2 linked regions of the Bombyx mori genome follow. The protein of the gene in region 1 purifies or fractionates together with the protein of each later gene. This does not show direct contact. Links are inferred from orthologs where the notes say so. Each region holds a gene or a part of one and is shown on either strand. Other genes may lie near its edges.

Region 1 (3,119 bases):
TGTTTCTTGATTAAATTTCAAAAATTTAGTGCTGCGCGCGCATGAAGTCGTTCTTATACCAAATATCCAGCAGCTTTAGATTTTTCTTCAATTGTCAATTGTCTCATGATTGGTTATCGGCGCTCGTAGACATTACAAAGAGTTCTTGTACCTTGAGACATAAGGCAAATGTCAATTATAGGCCCTACCCTCATCTTTAGTTCAGAATGTGCATGGTTCCTAGTAAAATAAACAGTATGGTGATATCTATACAACTGACACATACATAATGTGACTGTTTTGCTCTGAAATCATAGTCCAATAATGGTTACAATTGATTAAGAGACAGTGGTGGTGATTGAGAATGATTAGATATTAATATAGTAATTCATGCAATAGATGCAGTGTGGCATTCATTATGAATTGTGATGATTATGAGCCATAGTATATAATGATGAGCAGGTAGTATCCTTAGCTAGTAGCCCTTTCTGCACCAAATATTTTTAGTTTTTTTTTCTTTAACACTACTATTATTATATTTATTATTATTAATAAAGAAATATTATATTTATTACTGAGTTGTAGTATCAAGGCGCCAAGGTACTAGAACTCTAAGCCATTAATAATAAACTATGAAATGATAATTATTCAGAAGAACTACTTTACTAAAAAGCATTTTTTTATGAATATTTATTATTTTAAATATCTTTAAACAAGGTCAATGACTCATTGGTACTCATTATGCAATCTGTCCAACAGAAGTACAAAATCGTGTTATCAGTATTCACAAACAAGTAAATCAAATTGAGTTTTGGTAATCCAAAACAATAGCACAGAACTTATAATGTAATATTTATTAAACATAAGATTTATTTCACAGTTCAATGTTATGACATACTGTCAATGAGCGATGCTCTCATTGTAGATGTGATTGCAGTCGGTTTAGCATCATTTAATTTGAAAACACTCTCAATAACAGAAATCTCAGTTGACGTTGTGTCCAGTCCGCAGAATGCACACCAATCGTTGACCACCATTCCAGCAGCTACGACATCACTGCCTCTGTTAACTGTTCCGGCAACTAAGGGCACTTGGAGTAGCGAAGAGAGTTCATCCTGGTCCTGTATATTTGTCTTCGGGTGTACCAGCCCTCCTCGGTTGCTCAATGCAGTGTAAGAACCAACAAGTACGTTTCCCGCTATTGTTTGTCTGAATACTTCCACGTTTAATGTGTCGGCTAATATTTCTTCTGTGTCTTTGTCTAAGTCAGGATGTACAAGTGCTACATAGTCGTTACAGGCTATGACGTTACCGAGGGCACTAAGCCGTTCCTCCACGCGTTGTAATTTCACGTTCTCCGGCAGACTGTTTCTAATGTGTTGTAATTCTGTGTCCGTGGTCGAAGATGGAACTAAGAGACCGTTCTTGTTCCCTACGGTCATTCTACCGATGATTCGGCAGCCTCCAACACTCGCATGTATCACTGGGATGGTCTCCGCTAATTCAGCTTCGAACACGCTGTAAAAATTCTCCGAACCTCCAATCGCGACAAGGCAGTATGTGTTTGTTAATTTACTGAACACTCCCACTTCATTATTATTTTCAAATTGAACGCGAACCGCCATGATTTTGGTTTTTCGTTTAACCTTTTCCCTTATTATGTATTTCACAATATGATGCGATTCTTCACGTGGGTTGCGAAAAACACAAGCGTCTAAATGAAATTGGATTTGTTTGACAAATTGATTTTTTAATGTCTGACAGTCGAGTCCAGTGTTGCCATAAATTTTCTGTGGGTCACTGATATCAGACAAGATATATTATTTCAATAGAATAGGTATGATAATTCTGTGTTTAGTTTTATGTGTATAGTTTACAAATATTACCAAATCACTATTAGGCCACAGACGGCCAGCCTCGCGCAGACCCCCGCCAGCGCCTGTGTGCGAAACCCATGAAGCGCCCGCGCGCCCCCTATTTTTACGAATCTTCATGTTTCAATGTATTTTTTATTATTATTTGTTAATTTTGACTTATTGTTTTGACGTAAACATTGGGAAACTTGTACTTAAATGTTTTGTTATTTACAAGGTATATCTTACACCTATTGTAACTCTTTATATAACGAATACAAAGAATACTAGGCTGCACTAAAAGTATCGGGAATGGAATATTTCCACTTCTTGTCATATTAAAATCTTTTTAATTGAAAACTCCTTAGTTTTAAAAATCGAATACCATTTATTTATTTAAAAAAAGATTCTCGGTCTTGTCACGAGGTTTTGTCAAACTTGTTTAGTCGTTGAGAAAATGGAATTGACTCGAGAAAATTCAAGACCGATGATTTATTATGACTTTCGAAGTGGTTTAACACAAAAACAGTGTGTTGACCGGATGATTTCTGCATTTGGTGATGAAGCCTCATCCAAAACCACAATTTATCGCTGGTTTGCTGAGTTTCAACGTGGACGTGTCAAGCTCAGTGATGATCCCCGTCAAGGTCGTCCAAAAACTGCAGTCACCCAAGAAAACGTTGATGCTGTGCGTAAGCTGATTGAGGAAGATCGACATGTGACATACCGCGAAATTCAGGCAACTTTAGACATTGGCATGAGTCAAATACAAATAATCTTGCATGAACAATTAGGTGTAAAAAAGTTGTTTTCCCGATGGATACCGCATTCGCTCTGTGAAGAGCAAAAAGCGGCTCGCGTTACTTGGTGCGTCAGAACTCTCGAAAGATTCCACGCAGGATCCTCAAATGCTGTATACAACATTGTATCAGGTGACGAATCCTGGATATACGCGTACGAACCCGAAACAAAAAACCAGTCACGAGTTTGGGTGTTCGAAAATGAGTTAAAGCCAACAAAAATTGTTCGTTCACGGAGTGTTGCAAAAAAAATGGTGGCCACGTTTGTCTCCAAAACAGGCCATGTTACGACTATTCCTCTTGAGGGACAAAGAATGGTTAATACAGAATGGTATGCTAGCATTTGTTTGCCACAGGTCGTTTCTGAACTCCGTAAAGAGAACTGCTACCGCCGCATCATCCTCCCTCACGACAATGCGAGTTCTCACACCGCGCACTGAACAAAAGAGTTTTTAGAGCAAGAAAACATAGAATTATTAGACCATCC
Region 2 (4,494 bases), on another chromosome or scaffold:
TACGTATTCGTGAATAACAATCGAATTAAGCACGGGTCAGGAGAAAAAAATGCAAACTATATATTTATAGTTGAGCGTAATGAATAACCTATGTAAAAACGTATTTAGCTTACGTAGCTTTTAATAAACGAACCATCAACTTTCTCAATGATGTTATATTGATTTTCTCTTTGTTTCCACTTTCAGATTATCAAAACATCGTGGTCGTATTTTACGCTTTTATTGAATATTTACAAACAGTAAATAATTTCAGCACGAAAGCACAATATTCATAGTTACATTTCAATATATAATTTTCAAAATAAAAATAGATATTTTTTTTATTTCAATATGAGTATTTACTCTGTGTTTTCAAATAATTCAATATCAAATTTGGGTTACCAATAAAAAATACTGAATCCCATAAACATGACGAATTCAATCCCAGGATCACCTTGAGCCAAGAAGTCGACCAATTTCCATGCAATTAAATACATTAAAATTTATACAAGTAAACAACAGTATTGGCCTGTCCGACATAATTTGTAATTTTACAGTTATGTAAGACGTTTCTAAAACATTATTTAAATTGTTTAGGACGTAGGTAAACCTAGTTGAATCACAGTTGAATCTATTGACCTTCCATGATCTTAAAAATGGTGCTATTTTATTTCTGCATTGGGGGCATAACCTCCTACGAGAGGCGCGCGACGTATATGGGACTGGACGGTCCGTAGATATTAAGACAAGACTGCGGGCTCAAGATTGGTATATAAGGCCCTATTAACTTAGAGACTCCCCTGCACACTCGCCGAAGCGTCCGATCCCCCCGTTCGTGAAAGGCTGACGCAGGGCATGGAAGGGTCCCCAGTCCACCCTGCGTACGATCGCCGGGATCCACTCCAGTCTGCGACTCCGACACGACGACCGCACGACAGGATTTCACACTGGTTGGCGGGACAGCTTCCCGGGGCGGAGTTTAGTTGTGACACCTGTTAGTGGGTACATCCCTATTAAGAAGTGTGAGCTGTAGCACAACACTAGTATTTTTTTAATGTCAGTGGTTAGAAGAGTAGGTAGCATAAAAACACTATGGTCTCACGAAAATGTATAACAGTAAAAACAGTAGTGTCTTTAATAAATAATATTAATAAAAGGTTAGTTTCTCTCATCTGAGCATTTCTATATCCTTCAACACCCGGGTTCAGGTCCCCTACTGATCGGTGGACAGCGGCGAATACCGTTTCACTGGGTCTCCCTGTACCCCCGCCAACTTACCCCGTCACTTAGTAAGGTGGTTTAATAATTTGGTTATTCATTAATATATATATAAAATTTGCTCGAACAACAATATTTTCTTTTATTAATTTAACTAAATGTAGTTTTGTTTATTTTAAATGAAAACAACGCCTAAAAACGTAAATAACAGTTTATATTGCGTTTGCGTTTCGATATTTTTGGTCAAAAAATCTATCCAATGATTAATGGATCTCAGATCGCTTTCCTAGGCCGCCCGACCGCTCTCGTTAAATCACAAAGCTTAATACACTTAATGTCACCCAGCGACCTGTATACCTACCTATTTAGTGTTTCTTCAAGTTTAAATGTGTGATAACAGTGGTTTATGATGAATTGTTTAGTTATCTGTGAAAGTGCACAAATTTGGGAAAATAGAACAAAGCCGCTGGACGTAACTTCTCTGGGTCCTCCAAAAAGTCCTCTGGAAAATTTTCAGTAAATGGCTAGGCACCGTTTTACTGATATTATATTTCATTCCATTTCATTTAATTTCACTACTTATTTTTCATAAAAAAGATATATTATATTATAATAAAAGAATAAGCTGTATGGCATAATACTTTTGCCTTTCCAGTTGGATCAATAGAACTACTACTGTCATACAGCTAACAAAACCTTTCATTAAAAATAAGTGAATAAAAGTGCATTAATCTCATTTCATTTTCAACTTGTATAATATTTCTTTAATAACCTCCTCGTTTGTTTATTTTGCTAAAATGCCTAATAAAAAGAACAAGGAAATTGACACAAACAGCGAAAGCGAAAAGGAACAAGATTCAGGCAGCGAAAAAGATTCTGATTTTGATTCAGACGGCAACTATGTCGGTGAAAAAGTAAGCAAAACCATAACCTACAAAACACATGGCTCTTTGTTTCAATTAATCGTGTAATTAAATACAATCAACTAGATTATGTAAAATGGATAAATAAACTTAATGAAAATAAATGAGATTAGTACACAAATACTTTCTTGCAGATGCCCAGTAAACTTACAAATAAACTCAAATCATGTAATCACTATATTAAAGCATATGGCGTATTTTACTGCAGCATGTAACAGCAAAGCGGTTTCCAGTGACAAATGCTTTTCCCCACCCTTTTTCCAAACCAAATTGTGAAATTCAAAATTACTGAAAATTAAATTAAGATCGATGCCTCCAATGAACACTACTATAACTCCAAATTCGTAGGTTTACAAGAGGAGAGTTTAAACGAAAAAAGTTGATAAATATATCTGCAATAATAAAGATTTTATGGTTTTTTCTTGTGTAACTAGTTGATTTACTCTTGCTTCGAACCCCATTAATAATGAATATGTAATACTTTTAAAATAGTGAAGCGATTTGCGTGAAAAACGAAAATTTCAAAATTTTGAGTTAGAGTAGTGTTCATTGGAGGCATCGAGATATTCTTTTGCTATTTTCAGGAGCTACAGGCTGATTTCGAAGGACGTAACCCAGAAGATAGTGACTTCCACGGTATTAAGCAGCTACTGAGGCAACTGTTTCTGAAATCAAATGTTGACCTTGGAGGGCTAGCCCAAATTATTATATGTAAGACTTTTGTGACTTAATACAGAGCTTGTCAAATTACCAGAAAACTCTGTACCTATTCAATTCTAACCAAGAAAAAAAATTGCTTGTAAAATTTTAATTGTACTGGCTATAAAGTTTGAATTGTTTTTAAAAATAGTGAATAATCAATTGGATCATACAATTTATAATTTTACACTACTTTTTTTTGTCAGCACAAAATTACATAGGCAGTGTTGTGAAGCAATGTTTGGATGATGGTCAAGAGGATGACGATGATGAGGACGATGGTAGTGATGGAGTTTTTGGAGTAACTACAGTAGTGAATATTACTAAAAGAAAAGTAAGATTAATACAATGTTTTTATATTAAACATTTCAACTAACTTTAAAAAGTGATATTTACTCCTTAATAAAAGTTAATTTGAAATCAATTAAACAAATTTTTGTTGAGTTCCCAAACTATCAATATGTTTCAACTAAAATACCAATGAATAAAAAACTAACATGGGAAAAAAAACATTGAGAGGTAAAATGCTATTTGGTTTAAGCGACAATTTGCTTAATATGTGACATTTATATATATTTTTTTCCAAAGTTTAATCTCTAAATGGCTCTCCTGTAAAGTTGAAAAATGTCATTTAAACCAAATAGCCTTTCCTTATGTAGTGTACTTCTATTCTTTTGATATGTAAATATTCTTCTCTATATGTAGTGTTCTATCTAATTAATATAGTTCACTGACTATTTCAGAATGAACCCAGTGTGGCACAGATCAGAGAATTGCTTACAAAACTATCTCAGGAGAATGCAGATCCCAGAACCAAAGAATTAATTAAATATATTCTGGCTGATGATTCTCAGCATACTGGCCTAGTTATTAATGAAAGGTAAAAATTTTGGAGTATTCAGAATTTCATTGTTTTTTTTCTATAGACTAGATGATGACCGAGCTTTGCTCTTTTTTTTTTTTTATAATGCCATCTTGTTGTGTATTTAAAGCGGTTAGTTGCCCTCAATTAAGAAAAATAAGTTTGATTATCTGCCAATAGATGTGGGGAATAGTCATAAAGTTGATTATTGAAAACACGAATAAAAAAACATTTTCTGAAAATAAATCGTAGCTAGATCGATTTATCGCCCCCGAAATCCCCTGTATACTAAATTTTATGAAAATCGTTGTAGCCGTTTCCGAGATTCAGATTATATATATACAAGAATTGCTCGTTTAAAGGTATAAGATAAGGTAAGATATTTAATTCCCAAAACTTTTGATTCACTCAAGTGACTGTAACTATGAAGTGTCCCATGTTTTTTAGTTTTGAAAGCCATTACAATTAAGACTATCCTCATGTCCCATGATATAAGTAAGTTGTATATAGTATGATTTATTCTAATGCCTAACTACCTACACTGGGCAACCCACTAGCTTAACTGGCTGTATACAGATATATATGTATAAAATACTTATGTTTTATTTGTGTGAATATCTTATTGTCTCCAGAACTTCTGGAGAAATGGAGAAAATTATAATTGGGACTTTTAAAGTAGAAATGTTTAGTTTTTTTGCTACTTTTAAAAATAATTATTTTCTTTTCCAGAATACTAAACATTCCTGCAGCGATTAGCGTACCATTATTTGCATCACTACAGACTGAACTTGAGAAAGCTCATAGGAAAAATAT

The links.
Region 2: the proteins of eukaryotic translation initiation factor 6 (region 1) and protein BCCIP homolog purify together in Homo sapiens (affinity purification with mass spectrometry; 3 studies listed by BioGRID and IntAct, counting the BioPlex papers as one, with this or other methods). This does not show direct contact. The link is inferred for Bombyx mori from reciprocal best matches to the Homo sapiens genes EIF6 and BCCIP.

What each region holds. Positions count from the first base shown.
Region 1 is NC_085114.1:15,903,260-15,906,378, forward strand, and holds eukaryotic translation initiation factor 6, read right to left. Parts: upstream 1,671-3,119; 5' UTR 1,605-1,670; coding exon 867-1,604; 3' UTR 662-866; downstream 1-661. UniProt on the Homo sapiens protein: Binds to the 60S ribosomal subunit and prevents its association with the 40S ribosomal subunit to form the 80S initiation complex in the cytoplasm. Behaves as a stimulatory translation initiation factor downstream insulin/growth factors.
Region 2 is NC_085132.1:4,572,710-4,577,203, forward strand, and holds the start of protein BCCIP homolog, read left to right. Parts: upstream 1-1,533; 5' UTR 1,534-1,994; coding exon 1,995-2,111; intron 2,112-2,704; coding exon 2,705-2,831; intron 2,832-3,025; coding exon 3,026-3,153; intron 3,154-3,562; coding exon 3,563-3,699; intron 3,700-4,410; coding exon 4,411-4,494. UniProt on the Homo sapiens protein: During interphase, required for microtubule organizing and anchoring activities. During mitosis, required for the organization and stabilization of the spindle pole.